Linked DNA regions of Caenorhabditis elegans. The protein of the gene in region 3 binds, or shares a complex with, the protein of the main gene of each other region. Each region holds a gene or a part of one and is shown on either strand. Other genes may lie near its edges.

Region 1 (6,583 bases), on a different chromosome or scaffold from region 3:
CAAGATTTGGAGTACGGAAGGCGCCAATAGCACGAGAAGAAGATCCAGCAGATCCGAAGCATGGAAAAGTGATGGGAAGTCAAGAAAGCATGAACTCTACAGATTCGAGGGAGTCCGTCGTTTCGGCGGCTTCAATTAAAGCGGAAGCATTGGCTCGCCGAAATTTCAACTACTAGTTATACTTGCATCTTCTTCTCCGCTTTCCGCTTCTTTCTGCACATCACAGTGAGTTTGAGCACATTTTTTTCAAAAAAAGGAACTTATTTGGAAAATTTCTCCAGTCAGTTTAAAATACTAAATTTAGTTTCAAAAATAAGTTCCTATTGTTATTACGTTATTCAATTCAATTACGTTTCCAATTGTAAATTTTTCAGCACTTCTGATCCGATAGGCAAGCCGATCAAGGAACGGTATAACTTTAACGAAATGGACCGTAATCTTTCCGCACTGGTCAAACCACTTTGGGCAGGAAATGAAAAAGAAGATCGTGCTGAAAAAGACGATAGTACATCATCTTGATCTGCTCCGGCTCCCCTCCCTGTCTGTGTGATTCTTTTTGTTTCTTTCAATTTTATCCTATTATTCCAATTCAACGCTGATGCATTACTATTGTTGTCATATTTCATTTCTGTCATTTTTTAATCAAATGTGCTGAACATTAAAAATTATCTGATCTCTTGAATCCCTTGTCTTGTTTTATGAATAAAAGTAATATATCAAAAAAAAAAGTCGAATGGAACTGCTGAAAGTGCTCCTTTTAGTGCGCATGATATTTTTCACACATATTTTTTTTGAAACGGTTTTGATCCGTGTCCAGTATCCATATTTGATTTTTTTAAAAGAAATTTTAAAAAGTTTGTGTAGACAATTCAATGTTTAGTTTTCCCTTTCAAGCTAGTTTTCACTAACAGGAAGATGCTATAAAACTATGAAACGAAAAACTTCAAGAAAAGGAAATTGAAAAATTGTGATCTACACAAATATTTTTCTAACATTTTCAAATGTGGATGATGAACACCAGACATTCGTGGCAACTGTAGACCAACTATTTTATAAAATGAGCCAGTTTGGCATGTGCTCACAAACTTTTTTATGGAAATTCAGAATATGGAAAACTACTTACTTTCTCTGAAAATAAGATTTTTTTAGTTGGGAAAATAGGACATTTTTGAAAGATTTTTCATTTGATGTTTTAACTTTCGGATTAATTGTGAGCACTTTTTAAATTGTTCCAACTGAAATTAAAAATATTTTTAGACAAGCTAAAGATTTTTCGATATCACTGAGTTTCAATTAAAAAATTTTGAGAACATGCCACACTGGTTCATTTTGTAGAAACTCACTTTGAAACTTATAGATTTGTGTAATAAAATACTCAGTTTAGAATTTATACACTGCTCCGAAAAAAGTCGGTCCAAAAACCTCTGTTATCGGTTTACGATCTTCTAGAAAAAGCGGTGGTATTTCTCAACACTGCGCACAGCTGTTTGGCAGGTGGAGGCATTTCTACTGGCAGAGGACCTCATTCTATAATGTCATCATTTCAAAGTTAGTCATTGTTTTCAAGCTACAATTTCTGGATTTTTGTCATCCTGATATATGATACTAGCTCATGATCAAGGCCAGTCGTAAGAATATAAAAACACAAACGAAGGTCAGATACTGAACATTTATCTGCCAACATTTGCGGGGTTCGTACTTTTCAACCATGTCTTTTGATTTCTCATATCTAAACTGATGATCCTTTCTTATTCTCACAACTGTCTATAAACATGTGTTAGAAAAAGCTTGTTCCTGCCTGTTCCGAGTATCAACGAGCAGCAATACTTGGCTATTAATGTGACCCTACGCACGCAACCCGATTGTATGCGTCTCTTCGAATCGCGCACTCTTCCCGGAGTCGTTACGTCTGCGGCCGTAGTCTGTGACCCCCCGCTTGGCTGTCGGCCAACCCGCCGCGCGCGCATTGCCTCTCGCTTTCTTCCACTCTTTTTAGTTGTACATTCTGCGCACTTTCTTTTTGCCCAGTAAATGCCCATATCACTGTGTGAGGAAAGTTGATTTTCAACAACTATTATCATTTTTAAGGTGTTGTTTATAACTATTACTATGTTTAAATATAATTCAAAACTTTATAGTTTAGCCGTATAGAAGTTGTATTGAATTTTTGGTTTCATTTTTACAACTAGTTTTATTTTTAAATGCAAACACCACAAAAGAAGCATTGTTGCTTTCCTCCGTTGCATCTCAAAACATCTGGTGTAATACATGTATCACATTTTGAAGCGTGAAATGTGCCGCTTCACTGAATTTTGTTATGTAGAGTAGTACATAGAAAGTCAAAAAAAAATCGAAATAACTAGTTCGAATTTTTTCCCATTTAAACACACGATATCCCAACCGATGTTTCTGAAGAATCTTTTTTCTGTTCCCAATCAATACTGATCATCAACACATCGGATACACGTCTCCCTCTGTGAGTTAGTCAGGGAAGCTGAGGCATCCTGTTGAATCTGTTGTGCAGCAGCACTCACACACATACTTTTGTTGTTCACTTATATCTCTATCTCTTGGTTCGTTTTCATTCTTTACACAAAATGCAATGGCAAAAGCTTCCACGCCACCGCCTCCGAGTTCTTCTTACACATATGTCAACCCGTCGCATCCTATACCTTTGGCACATTTGCCTCTTCCTTGAGGATTTCTTCTTTTCTACTGTTTCACAGCCCCCTCGTATAATACCTCCAGTGTTTTTACGATTCTTAGAATATGGAAATTTCTGTGTTTATGCAAAAATTTACTTTGCATATAACAAAATGTAGATATGAAATTCTGACTTTTTGTGCTCTTTTCGATTAACCAACATACCTAACCTATACACACTATATGCTTTCTCCGGCTTTCCCTTGTTTGTACATATTTGTCTTCATATTACTCGCTCGCTTTCTTTTCTTCTTTCCTACCCCCACCTTTTTCCTTACAAACCCATGGTCGTTAAACCATCCTGTGTGCATAGTGGCCAACTTTCAGTGGTTCAATAATAGATGGTGTGTGGCGGAATGGATTCCGACCACAACCATATCAACGGGGATCTCGCCCATGGCTTCGAGAACATGGTGTGCGTCCGTTGTAATGATGGTTTTTCGATGCAAGATCAGATGGTGAACTCTTCCGGGCAAGTATGGCATTCGGAGTGTTTTGTGTAAGTTTTTATAAGTTAGAATTAAGAGAACTCAAAAATTGCAAAAAAATTTTTAGATGTGCTCAATGCTTTGAGCCATTCCCAGACGGCATCTACTTTGAGTATGAAGGACGAAAGTACTGCGAGCATGACTTCCATGTTCTGTTCTCACCATGTTGTGGAAAATGCAGTAAGTATCTTTGAGAAGACACGCAGAGCCATAAATGTTTTATATTCTAGACGAGTTCATCGTTGGACGAGTGATTAAAGCAATGAATGCCAGCTGGCATCCGGGATGTTTCTGTTGTGAGATTTGCAATAAACAGTTGGCCGATGTCGGATTTTTACGGAACGCTGGACGGTAAGTTGGAGAGCGTAAACGAAGCTCGAAAGAATTTCAATTTTCAGAGCTCTCTGTCGCGAATGTAACGAACGGGAAAAGGCAGCAGGTCATGGACGATATGTGTGCCACAAATGCCACGCAATGATTGATGATGGACAACACATCAAATTCCGTGGAGATTCATTCCATCCTTATCACTTTAAGTGCAAACGTTGCAAGTAAGAATTTATCTTGTTTTACAGTATGAGTTGAATTTAAAAAATTTTCAGCAATGAATTAACGACAGCTTCTCGTGAAGTAAACGGAGAGCTCTACTGTCTCAGATGCCACGATACCATGGGTATCCCAATTTGTGGAGCATGTCACAGGCCGATTGAAGAGCGTGTCATCGCGGCACTCGGCAAGCACTGGCACGTGGAGCACTTTGTCTGTTCCGTCTGTGAGAAGCCATTCTTGGGACATCGTCACTACGAGAGAAAGGGACTTCCATATTGCGAACAGCACTTCCACAAGGTACTTGAAATATGAACAAGCAAACATTAATAAGTTTGTTGCAGTTATTCGGAAATCTTTGTTTCAAATGCGGAGATCCATGTTGCGGGGAAGTATTCCAAGCTCTTCAGAAAACGTGGTGTGTCAAATGTTTCTCCTGCAGTTTTTGTGATAAGAAACTTGATCAGAAGTGAGTGCAAAACTATTCATATGAACTTGATGAAAACAAATTAATGTATGCATTGCAGAACGAAATTCTATGAATTCGATATGAAACCAACATGCAAACGATGTTACGATCGGTTCCCCACAGAATTGAAAAAGCGCATCTCAGAAAGCTTAAAGGACCGCGACGTTGAAAATCAAAGAAGATCGATGAGTCCTGGACCAAAATAATAAAAAAGAAAGAAATAAAGGAGTCCCCGTAATTCATCAATTTCCATTAAAGAAGTAATACTTTCCAAATGCCATTGCTCATTTCTCTTTCCCATTGTTTTTAATACCTTGGTGCTAAAAAAAAACATCGTGAAAATTGTTATCAATCCGTTTTGTCTTTTAAATGCCTTATATTTCAAAACTATTTTTCGGTCACACAAAAATGTCATTGTACTCATTTCTAGCTCCATAATTGTCCTTCCCCTTCCCTTTCCCAGCTACTTTTTGATTCAGAAGCCTTCTGAAAACAATCATAACTTTCGACCAAATTTTTTGTGTTCCTATCCGCAAAAACTTTGCATCTTTTCTCGGGTGTCATTATTGCATAACTTGATTTCTGAATTTTTGTACTATTTTTTTGTTCAGAAAAAAAATATTGACTGTATTGAAACAAAATCGTATTGTAATATTGAATCCTTTTTTTCGGCATCAACAATCAATTTGTAATCAGTGATCAACAGGAAGGTGAGTCCATAGCGCCCGGAGAGATATTTTTGGTTCAACTTGAAACGTGTTAAGTGAGAATTATACTTTCCAGTGTCAAAATGTTTGTGAAATTTCTAAAAATACGAATGAGCCAGTAGAAATGATCGTATTGCACTTGAAATTCTCTTGGGAATTTATTTGTTGAAGCTTCAAAATGTGAAAGAAAAATTGGGCTATTCCAACAAAAAACGACTTTCATCGTTTTTTTGCTCAGCAAACTCTGTTTGATCATTTTACATAAAGATGAAATAGAGTCGATGATTTTTTTTTAAATTCAAAATGACAAAAAAAATTCAGTTTCCAAGAAGTTAATTTCGTTAAAAAATAAATTTTCAATTATCGATTATTTGAAGAATTTCCAACAAAATTCTTCTTTTTTATCAATTTTTTTTTTGGTTTTTTTTTGTGGAAAAGTCTAAAATTTTGTAAGATTCTGTTATTACTCAAAAATCACAAAAAAGGACAAAAAACTGACACAACTGTAAAAAACAAACATATCAAAATTAGGTAATTTAGTTACGCGGGTATGGGAAAATAATTCAATACTTTCTATTTTTTTTTGTTGCAAAATTTAACAATTAATTAAAAAATTCAGAAAAATTCAATGATTTTTTAAACTGTTGTGCTTATTATAGTGCAACTTTTTTCCAGTCATTGAGACCAAAGAATCCATAGATGTTATTCCATCTTTTTCCAAATTTTATTTATTGACAAATATCTAATTAGTTTAAAAATCTAAAATCAAACCTCAATTTACGGTAACTTTATTGAAAACTTGAAGCATGAGCAAGTTTAACAAAAATTTCAAATATTGACCCAATAATTACACATATTATGACCCATATGATTAACAAGTTGATCAATTGATAAAACTGATAAATAATGATCTATGTATTCTAAGGCACAATCTTTTCTGGCGGCATACTTTTCTCGCAATCAAAAAACATTTTATGATTTTTAATTAATTCGTGAGCAGAATCCAGCGCATCTTGAATGGAGGGATACATTTGATTTCTTCCAATATTCCCTTCTCCAATCAGGCCAGCATTTCCATATTGTCGTCGGAGTGATGCTGAAATATCCCAGCTAAGGTTATAATTGTTTAAAAATTTTAAACTCACACTTCAGATTTGCAAACAACAGGAGTATACGAATTTGTCGTAATTCTTCATTAATTTGCTTCACCGCAGCAATCCCCATAGAATCCGTATAAATCCAAGTGTGGCAGTCAAGAATGATTGCACTCCACTCAATATCCTCTTGGGAATCGCAACTCGCGCTTCTCTTTTTTGTGGTGGCTGATGTCGAATCGCGAACGTTATCGAGAAACTTCTCAACGTTTGCGAAAATCAGTGGTGCATCAAATCTAATGATTCGGAACGATGTTTCCTTGAAAAATAAGTTTTTGGAAAAAAGTTGTCAGAGGGAAATTAAATTTACCTTTGCCAAGCTATAGTGATTCATTGGTCTAAAATCATTTGGTCGGATTTGCCCAAGAAGTTTAATCGTAGGTCTGAAAAATGTCGAAAAGCTATGTCAATTTTGCGTGTTAAATCTACAAACTCACTGCTGAGATTGTATTGCAATTGTAAAAATTGCCGTGAAAATTCCAGCAGCTACCCCTTGCGCAATATCGGAACTTAGAG
Region 2 (10,332 bases), 4.9 Mb from region 3:
CAGAGAAGGCAACAAAGAGCAGCAGCGGCACCCCAGCAACTAGAGTTTAAATTTGAAGTGGCTCAAGGTATGAAAGCAGTTTCCACAAATGATCCTGAGATGGAGAAAAAGTATGCAGCAGAAAATGAAGTTGTAGCACAGAGTAAGTTAATTTATCAGAAAAAAGGTTTCTGAACTCTACTCAATGATCTTTTAATTTCAGAACAATCTGGAGCAACATGGACGCCTGATGAATTAGCTAGTCTGGTTCGACTGAGCACTGAAAAATACCCGGCTGGAACACCGAATCGTTGGGAACAAATGGGTCGAGTTTTGAATAGAAGTGCAGAAGACGTTATTGCAATGGCTGGAAAAATGAAACAGATGAAGCAAGAGGATTATACGAAATTGTTGATGACAACTATTCAACAATCAGTACCAGTTGAAGAGAAATCAGAAGATGATTGGAGTCAAGCTGAGCAGAAGGCTTTTGAAACCGCATTGCAGAAATATCCAAAGGGAACTGATGAAAGGTTAGCTTGGAAACTAGAAATGGGTATTTTGAAATTGAGAACGCTCATCCTCCAAGCGTTGGGTTTCGTTAGGTATTGACGGTAAAATTTCTGGGTCCCCATAATATAATATCCAGAGGAATGTTTTAAATATTAAATTTCAGGTGGGAAAGAATCTCCGAAGAAATTGGAAGCAAAACGAAGAAACAAGTGATGGTCAGATTCAAGCAATTGGCTGAGATGATTCGAAAAAAGAAAACCAATGATACCTAGTTTTGTCATAATATTTATTCCGTTTTTTTGTTGGTCGGGTTTGATGAAATTCCAAAATTTATTGTTTTAGACGCGTTTTAAATATTTATTTATTTATTAAATTTTTATTAATAAATTGATGATAATAAAAGAAAAAACATCAAAAATATCGACTAGAAACATGTCAATGTATTGGTAATTAATTGGAAAACAAAGAAACATAATATGAACATATAAAGCACCAAATTGAGCGGAGATTCCGAAAAACGATCGAACATGAAAGTAAGATTGGGGGGCAAGGCACGACAAGAGGACTAAATTGGGACCAAAATGATAATTTTAAAAAGACACCCGCAGATGTGAATAGTAAAGAATAAGGAACAAAAAATGGAAAATATTATAGCATTTGTCCGTGACGTCCCTGATTGTACTGATCTTGTGATGTATAACGGGATTGACTATCAGCGTATTGAGCATTTGGTTGACGGTCGGCACGGAGTTCTGCATGCTCAGTTGGTGGACGATTACGTTTGAAGAAACCACACTGAAAATTAGATTATTATTATTTATTTTCTGAGGGAAACTGTAAATTTGTTTCGAAATTGGTTGTATACTGTAGTCGCTCTGATCTACCTATATTCTACAGTACCCCCGACGTAAGCTCGCCGTGGACGTTGCTGTGAAATTTTCGAAAGCGTGTGAGCACAGCTTTAATGTCGTAGGCAACTTCTTTTAAATTCAGTTTTTCTTAATCTTTGTGACAATCATTTTTTACCTTTCGAAAATGGCAGAGTTTGAACCATAAACTTTTCTCGCGGCGAGGCCCATCCGAATAAATCAATGAGGCTTTGAGAAACCGCTTCACAAAATTGGAAATTAAGATATAATTTTTGCTGCGTCACAAGTAAGCATGAAAGTTGGCGAAAGAACTTTAATTTAACTTGCAAGCCAATATCTATGTTGTTATGTAATAAATCGTATTTTTGAAAATTAAATTTGAAACTCACCCTCCAGAGCAGTAAAATAAGAAGAATCAAAATGGCAAGTCCAATAAGAATAGCCAAAAGATAAAGCCACCAAGGAAGATCTCTTCCTTCTTCAGAAGCAATTGCATTCATATTTGTAGATACTGCTGTTATCAATGTTGGCTTATGTGGAAGATTGTATTTAGTAGATGTGACACGAGCAAGAGCCAACGATGAAATGTCTCCTCCAGGATTTTTCTCATCAACCAATGTGTTTGTGTATAATCTAGAGAAGATTTCCACAAGTACAAACTCGTCTTCTTTAAGATCATAAATATCACATTCAATATGTGTACATCTCAATGAATTACAATCAACAGATGCTCTTGATAGTGGTCCCTTATAATCAACAACTCCTCCAGCTTCCTTCGAAAGTTTAACAGCTTCACGAAGATCAGAGAATCTAGCCTTATCACTTCTTGGTTCACCACGGTGTTCTCCTCCCTTCTTCTTCTTCTTTGGTGTTGGATTTCTTTTAACTCTCTTACTTCCAGCTCTATCAAAATCTTCATCATCTTCCTCTTCAAAATCATCTCCATCATATTCCTGATCGTCTGGAATATATTCATAATCTCCCTTCTTCTTTTTATCCTCAACATATTGCCAATTTCCAGTATTCTGACGAATCTTCTCCTCGTCTTTTTCGTATACATGTACTGGACCAGATTGATGATGAGTTTGATGTTGTGTAGATTGATGACGTGTTGATTGGGATTGAGTTGTTGTTTCATCTTCATATGATTCATCATCTTCTTCTCTTGAATATTCATTTGGTGTCTTGGCAACTGGTGGTTCAGTTGGAACATGCTCATTTGTTATCTGAAATTTTAATTCGTTTTTAATGTGCGACAGTAATTTTTTGTGAACATTTATAAAATAAGATGTTCAGGATTCTGAATTGAAAAAAGTGAAGTTTGTCAGCCCGAACCGGAAAATCAATTTTTTTTGTGATATTTCAGCATATTCGATTGTTTCCAATATTTTTTTTTAACTCGCCGATTCTAAACATTTCAGAAACTGACGAAAACAATTCTTCAAAATTTCCCAAGAAATTTGAATTTTATCCTAAAAATGATAAAGTTTCTTACTTCTATTTCTAAAACAAAATAGTTCCTTCCGTATTTCACTGCAATTTTAAATGTACAGAGTTATAAAATTCAGTGTCTACAGAAATTGGGGATTTGCAACGACTATGAGATCGTGGCAAGACCCACTCAGAAAAACAGCGTGTACCTTTAAAGTAATGTCTAGAAATTTAAAAATTATTCAAACGTACCCTCAAATTCAATGGATTAACATTTTGCAGTTGTTTGACCCGACATCTTCCTTTATTTGGTGGATTAACAACTGGTTCTGTGATAATGTACAGAAGATGACCTCCTTCAGTGGAAAATGATGGCCAGAAGATATCCAAAGTAGCTGAGTCAACCTCAGATGGACCACGATTACTGATTTGATAAAGATGTGAAACAACTGGACCAATTTCATTGTCATCGAAAGCATCTACACGTGTTTTGTTCGTCATTGAGAAATCGACTTGTTCGGGATTTGATCTACCATTCAAACTCAATTGATTCTTAAAATCAACTGGAATAGTGAATGTGACTTTATTATCAGCAACAGTATGAGCTTCTTCATCATTACTACTGTTCACATGAGCATTAATACTGATTGGAGCAAGTGGAGGTTTATCAGAAGAAGCAGTCACTCTTACAACACTACTAACTACTTTGTTAGCTGGAAGTGGATTGCCGAGATCACATGCAAAAGTCCATTTTCCATCCGAATCTGGTTCATCGGAAGTTGGAGAACAAGCTGGAGCAGACTTGCTTCCATCTCCACCAACACTTTCAATTCCACCGTATTCGAATCCTTGTGGAACATCGAAATAAAGTTTTGTCTCATATGAATCTTCTCCTCCATTTTGAACTGTTACATTGATAAGCATTGTATTGTCTTGAGTTCCCAAAAGGAATTTCTCACGATCACTGAAAAAATATGTTTAAAAGAATTTAATTGCTGGCATTTGGTTTATAGGTTTAGGAATAATTATTTTAATGATATGATTTCACTGAAAATTTCGCCGATTCCGTGAAGAAAAGAAACATACAATCTTCGTGGAATTATTTTGACAGGAAAATCCTGAAGCAAACATTTTAAAAATGGCTGTGAACTTGTCTCATTATAAAAAATGTTTTGAAAATTGTCGAGTTAGGTTACATTGTATTTTGTGTTATATTCAATTTTTCTCGCTCATTTCCTTATATTTTTTTGAAAATTTTAAAATTAGAGTAATGATTAAAACATTTCGAGACAAACCCATTTTTTCAATAATTTTTCAAACTTACTGTAATGAGGATTTTCAATGTTTCCCTTTCTTTTATATTCAATGAAAAAATGGCATATTTAATGTATTTTTTCAACACTTTTTATCGATCATTTTGAAAATTAAAAAAACTTACGCAACAGCGGTAACCTTCAAATCAGGAACACAAAGATCATCTTTTCCACAATTATTTGCAATATTAATCTTATTTTGGAATGAAAGTGGTACAGTTGTGTCAATTGCTGGTTCAAGCTTATCACCACGAAGTTTTCCGGTTTTTGATTCAACATATGTGTAGTTGACGGACCAATGAATTGGGGAGAGCTTGTCTCTGAAATTATTTTATTTTTGATTTTTAGAAAACATTTTATTTTCTAATTTGAAGGTTTGCAAAGCATACGAACTATTTTACATTCAAAAATTAGCCTTGAACTTTTTTTCACAGCAGAGCAAACATTTTCTCAATTTTTTCTGATAAAAAAATTTAAAAAGTTGTGGTCATTTTGAGTTGAAAAACTTTGAAAGAAAATCAAAATATTTTCTCTGAAAACTCACTTCATTGTGGAAGAAGCAAAGAATCGATGTCTGAAACACTTTTGTCGTCCCTTCTCAAGACGAACACGTTGTTCGATTGAAGATGGATGGTCTCTTGTTTTAGATCCTTGTGCAACTTTAATGCTTCTGTCAGATTTCTGAAATATTATTATTGTGTTAAAAATTTTTATCTAGTTTTAAAAAAGTGACCTACCACATCTTTTTGCAAGAAATAAGCTCTTGGTTCAGGAGAATGATCATCAAGATTGAATCGAAGATCAAATTCCAAATCATTTGGTGTATCTCCTTTTCCTTCATATTTGAAACATGTATTAATATGTTTGCATGCCTGTTTTCCCAATTTTCCATCAACATCGCAATTCTTATCTTCTACACTGATCAATGCACTCTCTGGTTCAGTTTGTCCCGTGACAGTGACAACTGGTTTTGTGAGTAAAACAGCTGCATTTCCAGATTTCCATGCTCCAACTGCAATGTCTGGCATTCCATTTCCATCAACATCTTCGTTTCCAGTAAGGGAGAAGCCAAATGATTTGATATTTCCATGACCAATATTGGCTCCTTCGATCTTCTGAGTTGGTAGTTCGCGAACACCATCTTTGGATCCGTGGATCACATAAACAGCTCCTTGTTTGTTTTTTCCAGCATATGGTGCACCAACAATTACATCTGAAAAACACTATTTTGTAATTTAAAATTTCCAACAAAAAATGCAATAAATTTCCATAGCGGTTCAAATGAGATTGAAAGTTCAAAATGCCGCACAAATTTCCGATAATCTAGGATTTTTTATGTCTAAAGAAATTGTTAAATTAAGAAAAAGAAAAGTGAAAATACGAAAACTAAATTTGAATTTCCGCGTAAAATAATTTCTGTGAGAAATTCAAATTCGTTCATTTTTAGTAGCAAAATCCCTACCATTATAACCATCCAAATTCAAGTCTCCAGCTGCTGCGACTGCGTGTCCAAATCGTCCCCACTGATCATCTCCAACAACTGCAATCTGTTTTCCAAAGACTCCTGGAGCAGTTTGAAGCATCACAATGACCTTTCCGACATCGTATTGTGGTTTTCTTTCTTGTGTTTTTGCGTCTTTCACGCTACCGTAATCTGTGTAGAATGGGCAGCCCATGATAATGTCGTCGCGTCTGAAATTAATACAGAGAATATTTAGAGAATTGTAATTTTATGTGTTTGTGAATCTCACTTACCCATCTTTATTTACATCAGCAACTGCAACAGATCCTCCACAATATTGTCCATGTTGAGTTGACACCTCATCAGTCAAATTGATCATCATCTTCAGTTTCGACGTGTATAACACCAATTTTCCGTGCAAATCGTTTCCACGTGGAACTCCGGCAACAATATCATCAATACCATCTCCATCAAAATCTCCAGTTGCTGTAGAATATCCCATCATATCGTGATCGTATTCCTTGCTACCGTACTCGGTATTCGGGCGGTCTGTCTGATTTTTGATGTTCTGTGAGAACATTGCTCCTTGCCAATACCACACACCGGGGGCTCCAATAAAAACACGATTTTGATTCTTCTTTCCTGGAACTGCAGCCGAGAATCCGCACTGACCGTATCCAAGACGATGACGACCGTGGCGAGCAGCTGTAATTTTTCATCTAATTTTTTATAAAGTTACCAATTGTTCGAACTCTGAACTATTCCAAAAGGTTCAACAATTTTCAGATTTTTTTCAGGAGCCTCTAGAAGTTTCTAGAATTTTCCAAAAAAATCTCAAAATTTTAAGACGTTTTTAACAGTGTCTTGAGGGTTGCAGAAACTTTTCAAACTATTAAAATATTCCTGCAATTCCTCAAAATTTTCAGAAGTTTCTAGAACTTCCCAGAACTTTCTTTTCTCGAACTCCTTTTTCCAAAACTACAGTACCCCTGCAGTACCAATTAAGTATCCCCAAAACATACGTTCTTGTTTGCACGATGAAAACTCCTCCGCATTATCAAATCCATTTTCAGCATAGAAACAGGTTCCAACTGGCTCAATAACTTCGAATTTTGAGTAGAAATATGTGTATTTTGGAGCACACACCTGGAAATTTAATTTTTAATTTTCAAACTCCGCAGAATAAACCTACCACAATTTTATCATGCTTATCATTTGATCGAACAGTTGCACCAAAGAATTGATGTGATTTTTCTTCAATTGGAACAAGATGTGATCCATTGAGTTTCTTCAAGTTTCCCTTCATTTTATCCACGTGGACTTCTCGGCATGTTGCCCGGTTCACGGAGCAAGCATAAACTGCTCCAGGTCTTCGGATTCCAGCCAGGTTTGGGTTATTGCTTTCAGCTTCAGGGGCACCGACAACGAGGCTGAAATTTTTGAATGTAAAATCTGTTCAGTTAATTCAATAACTTACACAGGCATTCCCTTCTGCTCATGGTAAAAATCGAGTGAGTATCCAAAGTAGTTACCAGCCATGTGATGAACCACTACATTTTTTGTGTCGATGTTGAAGGTGGCAACTCCGGCTAAAAGGCCCAGTAAGCCTAGAAGCAAGCCGATCCTTCGCGGAAAACTACCCTCTCGCATCTACTGGAAATTTGGAATTCGGTTTTTTGAAAACAATCAGAAAGAAGTTTGCAACGAGTATACGGAAGATGAAACGATTTTAGAAGTTGATTGAATAGAAAAAAAATTTCAAAATCTCAAATTCAAAAGTTCCAAGAAATATTTTTGAAAGGGAAAATAAAGAACTTTGCTTGAATTTTAATTTTGGAACGTTTTTCATGTCTAAATGAATTAAATTCAAAGTAGCGACCAATTTCACTGAGATAATTTCAAATTCTCAGTTAACATGTGGATCAATGAAGCCTAATCGGTGTCTTTTCCAAAAACCGGAAGGAAGGAAAAATGGAATTGAACAGAGCACACGCGATTGCGAAACAAAGAACTGACCCTCCGAAGACGACAAGTCATTTATAATTGAGAAGGGAGCTCTACGAGCATTTGACACACTCACATTGAGTCATGAACATATCAAGAAATGAATTGAACGAACAGGAGAAGTGAGCGAACGGAAATTAACGGGGGAACAAAATGACCCGTGACACGTGGAGCAAGATTGATGAAGAAGCAAAGTAAGGAGCAATTCGAATTTTGCATAAATCTCAATATTTGTTGTGTATTGAGCGAGAGCCAACAACAATATTTTCTCAAATGCTCAATTGAACTATTTCAAAATGTTTTGACTGTTGAAAGTTGTTTGCTGGAACCTCTAGCTTTTGAGTTGTACTCATTCGAAAATCTTTAAAATTACCGGAGAACCCTCAAAATATTCAGAATATTGGCTGGACTACGAGTTAAAAATCAGAAATTCGAAGTTTGTGAAAAACGTACAAAAAGGAAATTCCGAAACAAAACTGGCATCTGGAGACTCATAGTTATCCCATGAATTTCCGAAAAATACGATGAGTCAAGAGTCGTTTGAAATAGAGAAGGGAGGAAGGGACACATAGTTTCTTCAGTTTCCGGATAGTTATCAAACATATGTCTAATGGTGAGAGAGTGTGAGAGACGAAGAGACGTAGACATTGATGGAAGCATGAATTGAGGATGAAATTGGGAGGATGGAAGGGGGCGGAGGAAGAGGCACCACTTATTTGGGGACACGAGAAGCAATTAGTTTGGAATCAAGTAGATATGCAGTTACTATTTTTGAAACACCAAAGAGATTTTCTAATATTTTGAAAAACTTGCAAAATTATTATAATAGTAGACGTTCAATCTGACCAGACCAAAATTTGATAATTGAATTCAATTTTTGAACCTACTTGGAATATCAGGGAAACTTCCTGCCAAAATTCGACAATAAGTTGCCACAGATTTTAAAGTTTTTAAAGTTTCAGTTTTCACAGTGAAATCTAGTTAATTCAAGTACATAAATATTGTGGTCAAAAACGTATTGCACCAATACTAATAGAACAAATACGGCACTTTCTCCAATATTTGTAGTATGTGTTTTAAAAATCACGCCTACTTGAAGCCCATCAGTATACGAACAACATTTTATATATTGGTGAAAAGTTCATGTAATAGAGAGTATTGGGATGTGGGCATGAAGTAATTGTCAGTAGAATCCAAGATATGGTTGACTGGTGACTGTTCCCTCTCCGACAAAAAGGTCATGTTTTGAATAGAGAGGAACAAGTGATAAATTGAGGGAACGGGGGGAGGATGAATTAATTGGGTGGTTAGGAGGAAAATGAATTTTTGGAAAAAAAAGATGTCGACAAGATTTAAGGGAAGTTAAATTAGGAGGTAGGTTTTGAAAAAAGAATCTTAAATTGATGGGTCATTTGTGAAAAGTAACGTTGACTAACTAAGCAACAAAAAAATCATAATCCCTTCTATAAAGATTAATAATCTTCATAATAGCTTTTCAACTAATACATGGTGAACATTACCGTTTCATTACAACCTAAAACAATTAAATATTTATTACCGATCATTCTTTTTGATTGTCAAGAATTGCAATCATAGGAAAGTCGAACATTTATAGAATTCAAATCGGCGACGCACAAAGGTATCAATGTTAAAACCAAGCATTTTACTATTATAATAAAGTACTTAATTGTGCGAATTATACGATCTTAGTCAATAAAACAATTTCCAGAAATTTCATTTCCAAATCCAGGAATAATAAATCAAAGAATCCCAAGAGCAGGTGGTGCAGGTGCTCATGGAGCACACTTTTTGAAGAAAGAATAGGGGTCTCGCCGTTGGTAGTGAATTCTCAATGATGCATTCGAGCGAGAACAATTTTTTTTGTTGAAAGAAGAATGTGAGACATTCGGTGAGACAGAGAATATTCAGAGTGTCGAAAATGAACAATATACTCTTTGCAGGAAAATTACTGAAGAAGCTGGGTGTTGGAATTTTTTAGATGGATTTATAATTTAGTATAGAAATGCCAAATTTTTGTCTGAAATCAGATAAGAGCTTGGTTTTTACACAATATTTTATTTGATTTTTGAAAAACATTTGATGATTACTTGATACTTTTTAATTCAGAAAACAGCGGGATAGCCTATTATTATTGGAAAAAAATGTCAAGAAGGGTTTGAATAATAGACGTAAATAAGGGCCTACGAAGAACCTTAAAACTTCAAGTTTTACGTATGATTTCTTCACTCAGAACTGAGCAAATTATGTTGTCGATTTATGTTGAGAACTGTTCGATTGTACAGTCCTCTAAAAAGATTCTCCTAAATAATTTTTTAAAAAGCTTTAATCCCCTGAGAAAAAAATCTACGAAGCTACGGTTACTGTAGCTATTGTGTTTTTTTTTTAAATAATGAGTTCCCACTTTTTGAGATTTCACAACTCGATATGCAAAATTGTAGAAAAATTCAATGAGATCAATATCAAAAATCATAAAAAGAAGAGAAAACGGAAAGTTGAGAGACTGGATAAAGTGCTCTACGGGACGACGGCACACGGGGGAGGATGCGAGATGGCAGGAGCAGCAGAAGAAGAAGCAGTTGCCTTCTTTACATCGTTGATATTCTGCCTGCTCATACTCTCTCGCATTGCTACACACTGTTTATTGGGCTCTCTTCCCGAGGGCTCTTCGACTCGGCAGATCACTTGGATGACCGCGATGCTCTAACACCAGACGCCTACGTTCCCTCTTACCATCTCTCTT
Region 3 (9,752 bases):
ATTGAATTTTGGCATTTCACGAGAAGTGTATGCAAAGATGTCTCCAATGATTCTCATCGATGGCTCTGGTGGATAAATGTACGTATTTCTGACCATAAATTCTTTGAGAATATCATTTTGAATCGTTCCAGCCAACAGCTTCCTACTGACTCCAGCTTCTTCGGCAGCTACAACATACATGGCAAGTACTGGAACGACAGCTCCGTTCATTGTCATTGAAACTGACATTTTTTCGAGATTAATTCCATCGAACAGTTGACGCATATCTTCAACTGAATCCACAGCAACACCGGCCATTCCGACGTCTCCGAATACACGCGGATTGTCAGAATCGTAGCTGGAAATTTTTAGATTTAGAAAAATGATTTATTGAAAAGTTATAATGACCCCAAAAGACCTACTTTTATTAATTTTGTCGCAGGTTCAATATTTCAAAATCAATCAATTTACTACATATAAAGCGCGTGTCGTTCCGTCACTATGTAGTTTGATCTCTGATCAGAGCAACGAAATTTTGGGAAACCTTATGCTAAATGCGCAGCAGACATCGATCGAGGTCCGCGATAGACATCGTATATCTAATGTGTTTTCTCAAAAAAGTCGTGGGCCGCGCCGTAGGTGCGATCCACGGCTGGTTGGAGTATATCCAGCTAAATTCTCTAGTTTTGTCAACTTTTTTTCTGTTTCAGCGATTTTTTGTAATTTTTTTAAGATTTTAAATTAATAAATTGTTCATTCTGGAACCAAAATGCAGTTTTTAACAAAAAAAACCCACAGAAAATTGGCTGAGTTCGAGAAAACTCGATGGAAAATGCTCGAAACAACCGAAAGTCGTCTTCTTTTTCCATTGAGTTTTCTAGAATTTCACCAATTTTTAATTTAATTGTTTTTTGTTAAAAACTGCATTTTGGTTCCAAAAATAACAATTTACTAATTTGAAATTAATCGAGAACTGAAACAAGGAAAAGTTGACAAAATTAGAGAATTTAGCTGGATTAGGCTACTTTTGGGACCATTTTGAGTATTTCATATCGATTTTTTTAAACAAACCCTCTATGAGTGGCCAAATCAAATGCAACTGAAAGTCCTTGCTGCCCTGCTTTAATATTCTCCTTATAGAACTTATTCGACTCTTCAACAGTCGAAAATCCAGCGTATTGTCTGATAGTCCATGGCCGTTGAGTATACATTGTTGGATATGGTCCTCTAGTGAATGGGAATTGACCGGGAAGTTCAACAGATCTTTGAGCATCACAATCTCTATCAGATCTCAAATAAAGTGGCTTGATTGGAATTCCTTCAGGGGTATTCCATGTCAAAGTGTCCGCTTCACGGCCTTTCATCGCCTTTTTTGCCATGGCAGCCCATTTTTGATCGATTGGGGAGCGGGTGTAAGCTCCGGAAGAAGATGGACGGGTTGAGCATCGGAGAAGTGTGGGTTTCAGTAGTTGAAGATACATCTTGCCTTTGTGGAAAGGCAGTGATGATCTGGAAATTGATATTATCGAAGGAAATAATATAAAAACTCAAGAAGACAATCATGAGAGAACGTTTTGCAAAATTGATTTATGTTTTCGAAACTAAAACTAACAAAAATAAAAACTAATTTTTGTGTCACAAGTCCTTCGATGTGACCAAAAAACCGATCACTGCTGTCGAGTTTTGTCAAAAACAACGAAATCGCTGTGGAACAGATAGGCCAGAGAAAGAAAATGTGAAATTTGAAAAGATCTAATCGTTTGGCACGTATTGAGCTAGAAGAATGAAAAAAAAATGATTTGTTAATTTGAAAAATCCTTCAGTTTTGACTTTCAGCTTTTAAAAATCCAGTGAAACTGAAATTAAATAGATTATGAATTGTGTTTTTTTTTTCAACAATTATACGCCCTAATCTAGAAACTACTTCGAAAAACTTATTATTTTTTTAAATTCTAATTTAGAAAGCAAAAAATAAAACAATAAAGACCTTGTAGTCGCCGTCAATCTCTTGACAGATCGTAAACAAGCGCAAAAATGAAGATGGGCGGTTTTTTAATTGAAATTTTAAACAATAATATTAGAGAACTTTCGAATTATTTAAGTAAAACTGAAAATTATCGAAAAGAAACATTGATTTAGCATAAAAAGCCGCAGAGGACACTCGGGGAACAACAACTGACTCTGTGTCTGCGTGCAAAACTGAAAGTAGCATTTATCTCTGCGCTCTCTCATTTTTGTGCGTATTTAAGAAAAGTCTAGTCACTTCTCTATCTTTCTTTTTTCAATCCTACAATTCACGTCAAAAAAAACTTGTTTATTCTTTGAAGGAGGGTCAGATATTTGATTATTGTAGTCTCTAGCGTTTTTAAGTGGTAAATACTAAATTTTAAATCGGTTGATATGCAAAAAATAAATTAATCAGGCTTAATAACAGTTGTCAAACCACTTCGGGTCAAATACTTGAAACTTTTCGAACTTTTGGGAATCTTCTAAACTGAAAAATTGAAAATCCACACGGTAAATAGGATAAAAAGAATTCCAATTTTAAACGAAAAAATTTAAAGAAATTAAAAGAAATAAAAAATTGTCGTCAAGTTGAATGCTTTCTGTGCACTTGGATGCAAACACCAAGCTCCTCACTTTACGCGCAATTTTTTTTCCTTTTTATAATTTAAAAATATTATTTAACATGTCTTCTCAGATAGTTATGGCTAATATCAGTTTCAACCAAAAATTAAAAAGACAAAAAATTAATTTTTCAGATTTTTTTCATATAAAATTAATATTACATGAAAAATTCGAACAAGATAGTTCAAAAATAAAAGCACCATTGAAAATTGGAAATAGTACAAGAAGTGTGTGAGTTGTTGGTCGGTGTTAAGAGGGACAAAAGGCAATGAAAGATGAATATAAAGCAAGTCAATATATAGAGAAGGAAGAAAAAAATCCGTATTTAGAATGGGGTAAAAGCAGTGTGATGAACAATTGATGAAGGAAAAAAAAACAAAAAAATGGAGATTTTTTGAATAAAACAAAGAAGAATGTGACAATTTATCGCTAAATACTCGTTTCGAGTTGTTTGGATGGAGAAATTGAGCTTTCATATTAGAAAATTTGGGAAAATTATTAAAATATAAGGATAAAAACTATTTAGTTGGCTTTTCCAGCGTATACTGGATTTTTAAATGTTGTCGTGGCCTGTTTGTAGATTGGGTTCTCGTTCTGAAAAATGATAATTTGATAAATTTATATGTTTTTTGTTCCGTGTCACTTACCGTATCCCATTTGGCCATAAGCCTTTCGTTATTGAAAGTAGCGTATTCGGATCTATCATGAAGTACTGTGAGCAATTTCCAGAGCAACAAGAGAAGAATTCCGAGGATTACGATACCCGCAATGACTCCGAGCACAATTGCGAGCACAGGGACAGGTGGAGGACAATCTTTATGTTTTCTGACCCAGACTGTTGCATTATCTGTGGCCTCATCGTAATAGTAGAGATAATAGAATGTACAATCATCAGCTGGATCCACAAATTGGCAGGGTGTAGTTTCGTTGAGATCTGGAAATTTTAAAATTTCAAAATTTCAAGTTTTTTAATCGAGAAAAAAGGTTTAGAGAATTAGCAAAATTGCAATATTTACGTTTTAAGTATTATACACATTTTAAGGCAAAATCCATTATTTTCAGAAAAAATGTTTCTATTTTCCTGAAAATCAAGATTAAACGTTTAGAAAATTAACAAAAAGTGTAATATTTTAACAAATCAAATCAAATTTCCATTTAAAAAAAGAAGAAAAATGGGCAAAATTCCAAGCTATTTTTCGATAAATCAAAAGTTTTAGTTTTCCAATATTTCGAAAAAATATTTTAATATCTTTTTTTCTTTAAATTTTCCGATCAAACGTGTTTTTTTTTCAGAAATAAAATTTTCAAAAGTTTCTGACATTTAAAAAATTGATTTTCTGCTTTATCAGTATATTTTTTTAACTTACTGGGTAATTCCTCAACAGGAATAACTTTGAATTCACACTGATCACAGGCGGTCTCATTAAGTGGCCCTGTCTGCCATTGCTGGCACATTACACAATTCTTGTATTCCACACATTTCGTCGGACACGTCGGACAAATTTCGCATTTCGCTCCCGAATATCGATTTCCGTCGGGCGAATCGAAGCATCGACATCTTCCACAAATACATTCACCCTTTCCATTACAGATTTTTCCATTTGCAGAGAGGCATGAATCAGTTGAAATTGGGCATTCACAGGCTCTTCCAGTCCATCCAGGTGCACAAATACACTTTCCACAGTTGCATTCACCGTGTTCTGCACAGATTTTACGATCGTGTCGTGGGCAATTGAAGTTGTCGCATTCACAGAATTCTCCAGAGATTTGTTCTTCTGGATTGGCACGTGGATTACATTCACAACGTCCACAGTTACACACACCACGACCCTCACAGATTGCTGATTCGTTAGTTCTGGAAATTAGATCATTAGAATTTTTAAAAAAGAAAAAACGGAAAACAAAAATAGCTTAAATTTTTTAGCATTTTTGATAAACAATTTAATTTTTGTTAATTTTCTAACTTTTTTTCCAATTTTTTTGATTTTCTCTGAATTTTTTTAAAAAATGTAAGAAAGCAAAAATTATTTTCTAAATTTTCGAGCAAAAGTTTAAACTTCTGATTAGGCAACGACCTTTTTTTCGGAGTTTTTCCGGCAAATTTAAATGGATTTTCTCGTTTTTTCTTGTGATTCCATCGAAGGCGTCAAATTTTATCCAAAAAACCGAGAAAATTCAGTTGAAATTTTTAAAAAGAAAAAACTACAGAAAATCAATTTATTTGGAAATTTTCAAGGAATTTCAAAATTTTGTGATCTTAATTTTTATTCCAATCAATTTTCGATTAGTATTCCAGCCATAGAAGTTTTATAGCTTTTTTTTCGATTAAAATTTTTTTAATACTGCTCGGCCAATATATTTTTTAAAATTATTTCTCACATAATTTTCATGTTAAATTTTAAAAAAAACCATACCTTTTGCATTTTTCATTGAGCGCAGCAGTACTCATTCCAGGTCTATTACATTCACAATATTTTCCAACATTTCCTCCTTTGCATCGACAAACTCCACAAACCATATCTCCTCCGTTACAATCAGCCGAATTCGTCACAATTCTGTCTTGACGTTCACAATCACAATCGCATAAAACTTTAACATTAACGATAAGTGTCTCATCCAATCCAGATGGTCCGATACGGAGAACAAAATCACGTTTATCGATACAATGAGTATTTTCAAGGGTTACTTCGAATTGAACTTCATCTCCAACACGAATTCCCTCACAAACATTGGTATCTTTCAGTGTGGTTCCGCTGAAAAATTACGGTTATTTATAGGGTCAAATTTTAGAATAAAATTGTAATAATTTTAATAGTTTCGCTCCAAAATTGTGCTTTTTTTTAGTTTAAAACAATTTTATGTGAAGACTTTTTCGTCTAGAAACGTGAGAATTTAAGAGAGCTCAATTTTTCGATTCAAATTACTTTTTTTTTAATTTCGAGAAAAATGAATATTGAAAATTGCACGGCGAGGGCAATATTGTAGATATTTTACAATTATTTATATTGTTTTATGTAAAAGCGGATGAATCTGAAGGTTTCAACACCGAATTAACAGATTTTCACCTGAAATACCATAAATAAAAATTATATTACCAATTTTGAATGTTAAATACAAAAAAAGTAACAAAATAATCCAAAATCAGAATTTCAGCCAAAAACGCTTCTTCTCGTGGAGTACACGAAGCCTGCGTAAATCTACATGATCGAGGTCTTTCTCAATCTGTTTCTACAGCGTTTTTTTGTTTTTTTTTTAATTTTCAAAAGTTCCCAACTTTCATTTAAATTGAATATTATTCAAAAAACTCACTCCAAACACATAGATCTGTAAGTGAGCTTGAGTCCTTCTGAAGCATTTGCATTATCAACCATAATGATCTTTTCACTAATTTTCAAATATTCCTTCTCAATCAAATCGACAATATTTCTTGAATCATTAGCCAAAACTCCAACCGACGATGAAACATCTGGGAGTGCATTCGACAATTGTGTATACAAATCCTGATTGTTCTTTGTAACAGCAAAAATGACATTTGCCTTACGATCCTTGATCATTTGATGAAGAAGTGCAATTGATGGATAATCTTGATTAAGTGTTTCAGTATAATATCCTTCTCTATCTAAATGACATGTTCCATCATTTGGTTCGACGACACCTGCCAATCTTCCGTCTCCAGCGAAATGGAATCCAGCGTCAGTTGAGAAAACGATCATTTTACGAGCACGTTCACGCCACCCAATGGTTTTCTGAAATATTGATTTTTAGATTTTAAGCTTTCCCGATATCTCAAAAATGTTGATTTGATTCTTTTTGAATTTTTCTTTTAAATCAAATAACCACTTACATTACAAGCCAACGCCTGAACAACAGCATCGAAACCTCCTTCCGGAGCATCCAAATTTCCAGAAATTTCAGCTTTATCAACTTCAGCCTTGAACTTTGCCGTGTTCGTCGTCAATGACATTTGATGCTTGAATCCATATGGTTCTGCACATGGTGTTGGACACGGAGATAATTGTTTTTCGATTCGTGGATCGATGAATGGCATAAGTTTCTTGTCAATGAATGAACCGAATCCTAATCGGAAATTCTTTGTGACAGTTCTCATTCGTTCGGCGAGCAAGTCTCCGAGTTCGGACAGTTTCTGTTTGTCATCCTTCATGGAATATGAGAGATCCATCAAATAGTACAAGTCAACTGGATAATCAACGGCTTGACGGTAGGTCACATTGAAACGAACACGGGATTCTGAAAAAAAAACATTTAGATTGTTGTTGATATTGAAGAACTGGATTTAGAGAAAAATCTTGTGATTTTACAAGTTTTCGAGTCGCAGCGGTCACTAATTAATTTTTATTTTATAATCACCCTGAATTGCAAATTTTAGAAGTTTATCATTAATTCGTTGATTTAGGCATATTTTAAGCCCAAAAATCTCTTAAAATCCAAAAATAGTCAAACGAGCCTAAAATGTGTAAATCAACGAATTATGATAATAATAATAAATTACTTCACTTAATTGTATATTACAGGAGCTTTTTAAGATAAAAATTAAATAAAAAAGAGGCTGAAAATAACCAAAACCGGAAATATTTTAACTTTCCGCAAAAAAAATGCAGTACGATTTTTTTTTCAGTGTTTTTGAGACAATTTTCAAATGTGATTTTCAGCGGTTTTTGTTGTGAAAAATCAATGAAAAACATTTCTTTAATTAGTGCAAATTTTTCCTGAAAATTTAAGACTACGAAATTACCCTGAAATCTTCGTTTTTTTTGCTGAAACCCCAAAAAATTTTTTGTATTTTATTGATTATTTTCATCGAGTTTTTAAACGAATTATCTTTGAAAACCATATAAAAAACTTACTGGGCCGAATTTCGACGTACATCTCCTGTGGTTTGATCTGAACGGCTTCTTCCTCAGATTCAACTTGTCCTTGATCGGAGAGTTTACTGTCTTCAGTGATATCCAATTTTGTGGCCGGATCCTCGATATAACTGTTTGGACATCCATGTTCCATGAGCTTGGCACGGCTATCACAACGGGCATATGGCTTCTTCTCGTCGAACATCTGGAATTTTTTTTATTAAATAAAATAAATTCATGGTCTCAAGCATTTAACATACCGGTGCTCCACACCACGCGCAAGATTCATGATATTGAATGCACGCTGAGCATGTGTAATTGTCACGTGACAGACTGTAGCATGGGAATTCTGATTTTTCGACGACTTTTCCAGTGACTTCTCCAGTCTTCCAATCGCTTGCTGGTAAAGCGAATGGAAGAAGTGCTGCGAGGAGCAGCAATGATGTTGAAGGTGGCATTTGATGCCGGGTAGGTTCAACTGAAAAATTAATTAATTGGCTTTTAGTACATTGAGAACGGAGTAATTAGAAAAAAAAACGGTGAGATTAAAAAATGGTGTATTTATAAGAAAAATTGATGATGAAACTCTACAGAAACCTGATATCAAACTGCTTTCAACAGGTGGCAACTTTCATACAACTTTTGAAATTTTTAAAGCTCTCCAAAAAAGTTAGATTTTTTGAAAAAAATATTTTGATATAAAAATCAAGAATATCATACTAAAAATGGCACATCCCCAATTCATAATTTCTTCAGTGAAGAAAAAGTTATAATATAAAAGTTATACAATAAAAAATATATAGGAAATTTTGAAAGAAAATGACTTCTTGAAATATTAGTCACCATAGTAGGAAAATTTATTGTTTACTCAACAAACGGAGTGAATGCGGGAAGTATAACGGAGTCATGTTCTTTTTGTTAGAAAATTACATAGTTTTCGGGGGAAAATATAAAAAAACTTGCAGCGAGGAATATTGGAGTTCAGACAACTCGGATTTGAGAAAAATCGGTCGTGTCGAGACCGGGTACAGTATTTTCGGGAAACAATAACTTAATTCGGTATCTGCAGGCACACATGTGTAATGTATGAAATTTGAGATTTCGGGATAAAACTTCATCCGTTTAACATTTTTGGAAGTTATGCACATAACTTTTCAAACCTTAAAAATCGATAAAAGTATCAACTACGTCCACCGATCACCTCTTTTCGGAACGTGGGCGGATCTGCCAAGTGCTTCGACAGGAGCATCTCTCGCCTTCTCTCTCTTCACAACTGCCATCAACCCAGCAGCAGAATGCTCTTCGAAGAGATAGTGTAGGCGATAGAGTGCTCTATGTTGGCCGGGAGAGGGGCTCGGACCAAAGTGTAACGAGAGTTACACCTGCTTGTATCGTCGAAGAAACAAAGAAGACGAAGGGAAGAAAACCAAAGGGAAATGGGTGAAAAGGCGTTAGAATCGGGAGCTTCTAGAGACATCAGAGACCGATGAAATTGCGAAATTCACAGGAGGGGGTTTGATGTGGTGAGGAAAGGGATTTTTCGATAGTTTCAATATCGTTAGTTTGGTTCAAAAGTGGGAGTGGATTCTCATTTTGGAAGACATTCAAACAGGGATATTAGCTGAAACTAAAAAAAAGGATTTCACATTCTAGATCGACATTTTCCTTCTTTTTTTTGTGGTTTAATGAAATTTCTGACTATTTTGGGTATTTTTAAGCTTCCCGCTATTCCAAAAATGTTTAAACTCATTGCTGAACATCAAAACTGTTCCTGGTAAACTAGTTTAGGTGAAACTTTGAAGATAACTATAATTCTTGCTCTTACAGCTTATGAATGCACCTAGTAATTATTAAAATGTCAAAGTATAATTAATTTTAAAATGGCTGTCAAAAGTTATCATACAACGATATAACAATTTAGACATTGTGAAAAACGACGATTTCAACACTTAAATAACGAAAAGAGTAGAAAATAATAGCGTCTGAGTCATTCTTGTTCTAAATTTCCCACGCCCACCGTCTCCCGTCTCCAATCCATCAAATCGATAACAATCTGATAGGAACTAATTCAAAATCCAAACTGAATTGAAATTGAAATTGGGAGGAACAAAACGAAGAAGGGAACCAAGGGATGACAAGTAGTAAGACATCTGGTGCATACATATACTAGTATCCTCTGTCTCTATGTCTCTCTGTGTTCGTATTGCCCTTGTGTGTTTAATCATAGCACTAGCCCGGAATAAAAGAGCATTGAATCTGTGGAGAGACAGACACAATGAG

The links. Proteins that work in one complex are often made in the same cells at the same time.
Region 1: pat-3 (region 3) and unc-97 share a complex: the UniProt entries of both Caenorhabditis elegans proteins name them as parts of the integrin containing attachment complex.
Region 2: pat-3 (region 3) and pat-2 share a complex: the UniProt entries of both Caenorhabditis elegans proteins name them as parts of the integrin containing attachment complex.

Annotation. Positions count from the first base shown.
Region 1 is NC_003284.9:5,590,103-5,596,685, forward strand, and holds unc-97 (LIM domain-containing protein unc-97), read left to right. Parts: upstream 1-3,030; 5' UTR 3,031-3,059; coding exon 3,060-3,202; intron 3,203-3,258; coding exon 3,259-3,371; intron 3,372-3,421; coding exon 3,422-3,542; intron 3,543-3,589; coding exon 3,590-3,742; intron 3,743-3,793; coding exon 3,794-4,037; intron 4,038-4,081; coding exon 4,082-4,206; intron 4,207-4,264; coding exon 4,265-4,412; 3' UTR 4,413-4,863; downstream 4,864-6,583. Other genes in the region: mec-2 (Band 7 domain-containing protein), read left to right, coding at 1-176; sulp-2 (STAS domain-containing protein), read right to left, coding at 5,834-6,009, 6,059-6,326, 6,378-6,450, 6,505-6,583. UniProt on the Caenorhabditis elegans protein: Component of an integrin containing attachment complex, which is required for muscle development and maintenance. Probably function in adherens junction.
Region 2 is NC_003281.10:8,815,787-8,826,118, reverse strand, and holds pat-2 (Integrin alpha pat-2), read right to left. Parts: upstream 7,221-10,332; 5' UTR 7,218-7,220; coding exon 7,045-7,217; intron 6,998-7,044; coding exon 6,760-6,997; intron 6,714-6,759; coding exon 6,590-6,713; intron 6,273-6,589; coding exon 5,861-6,272; intron 5,798-5,860; coding exon 5,568-5,797; intron 5,319-5,567; coding exon 4,843-5,318; intron 4,787-4,842; coding exon 4,650-4,786; intron 4,558-4,649; exon of another isoform or gene 4,466-4,557; intron 4,426-4,465; coding exon 4,231-4,425; intron 3,757-4,230; coding exon 3,045-3,756; intron 2,588-3,044; coding exon 1,751-2,587; intron 1,288-1,750; coding exon 1,141-1,287; 3' UTR 845-1,140; downstream 1-844. Other genes in the region: F54F2.9 (DnaJ homolog subfamily C member 1), read left to right, coding at 1-142, 203-512, 656-764. UniProt on the Caenorhabditis elegans protein: Required for muscle development probably through the regulation of the actin-myosin cytoskeleton. Component of an integrin containing attachment complex, which is required for muscle maintenance.
Region 3 is NC_003281.10:3,906,200-3,915,951, forward strand, and holds pat-3 (Integrin beta pat-3), read right to left. Parts: upstream 7,951-9,752; 5' UTR 7,931-7,950; coding exon 7,733-7,930; intron 7,678-7,732; coding exon 7,473-7,677; intron 6,856-7,472; coding exon 6,452-6,855; intron 6,354-6,451; coding exon 5,917-6,353; intron 5,361-5,916; coding exon 5,022-5,360; intron 4,463-5,021; coding exon 3,975-4,462; intron 3,542-3,974; coding exon 3,255-3,541; intron 3,202-3,254; coding exon 3,130-3,201; 3' UTR 2,732-3,129; downstream 1-2,731. Other genes in the region: mmcm-1 (putative methylmalonyl-CoA mutase, mitochondrial), read right to left, coding at 1-337, 1,051-1,460. UniProt on the Caenorhabditis elegans protein: Integrin alpha ina-1/beta pat-3 is a receptor for laminin. Integrin alpha pat-2/beta pat-3 recognizes the sequence R-G-D in its ligands. Plays a role in cell migration, morphogenesis and probably in cell-cell interactions.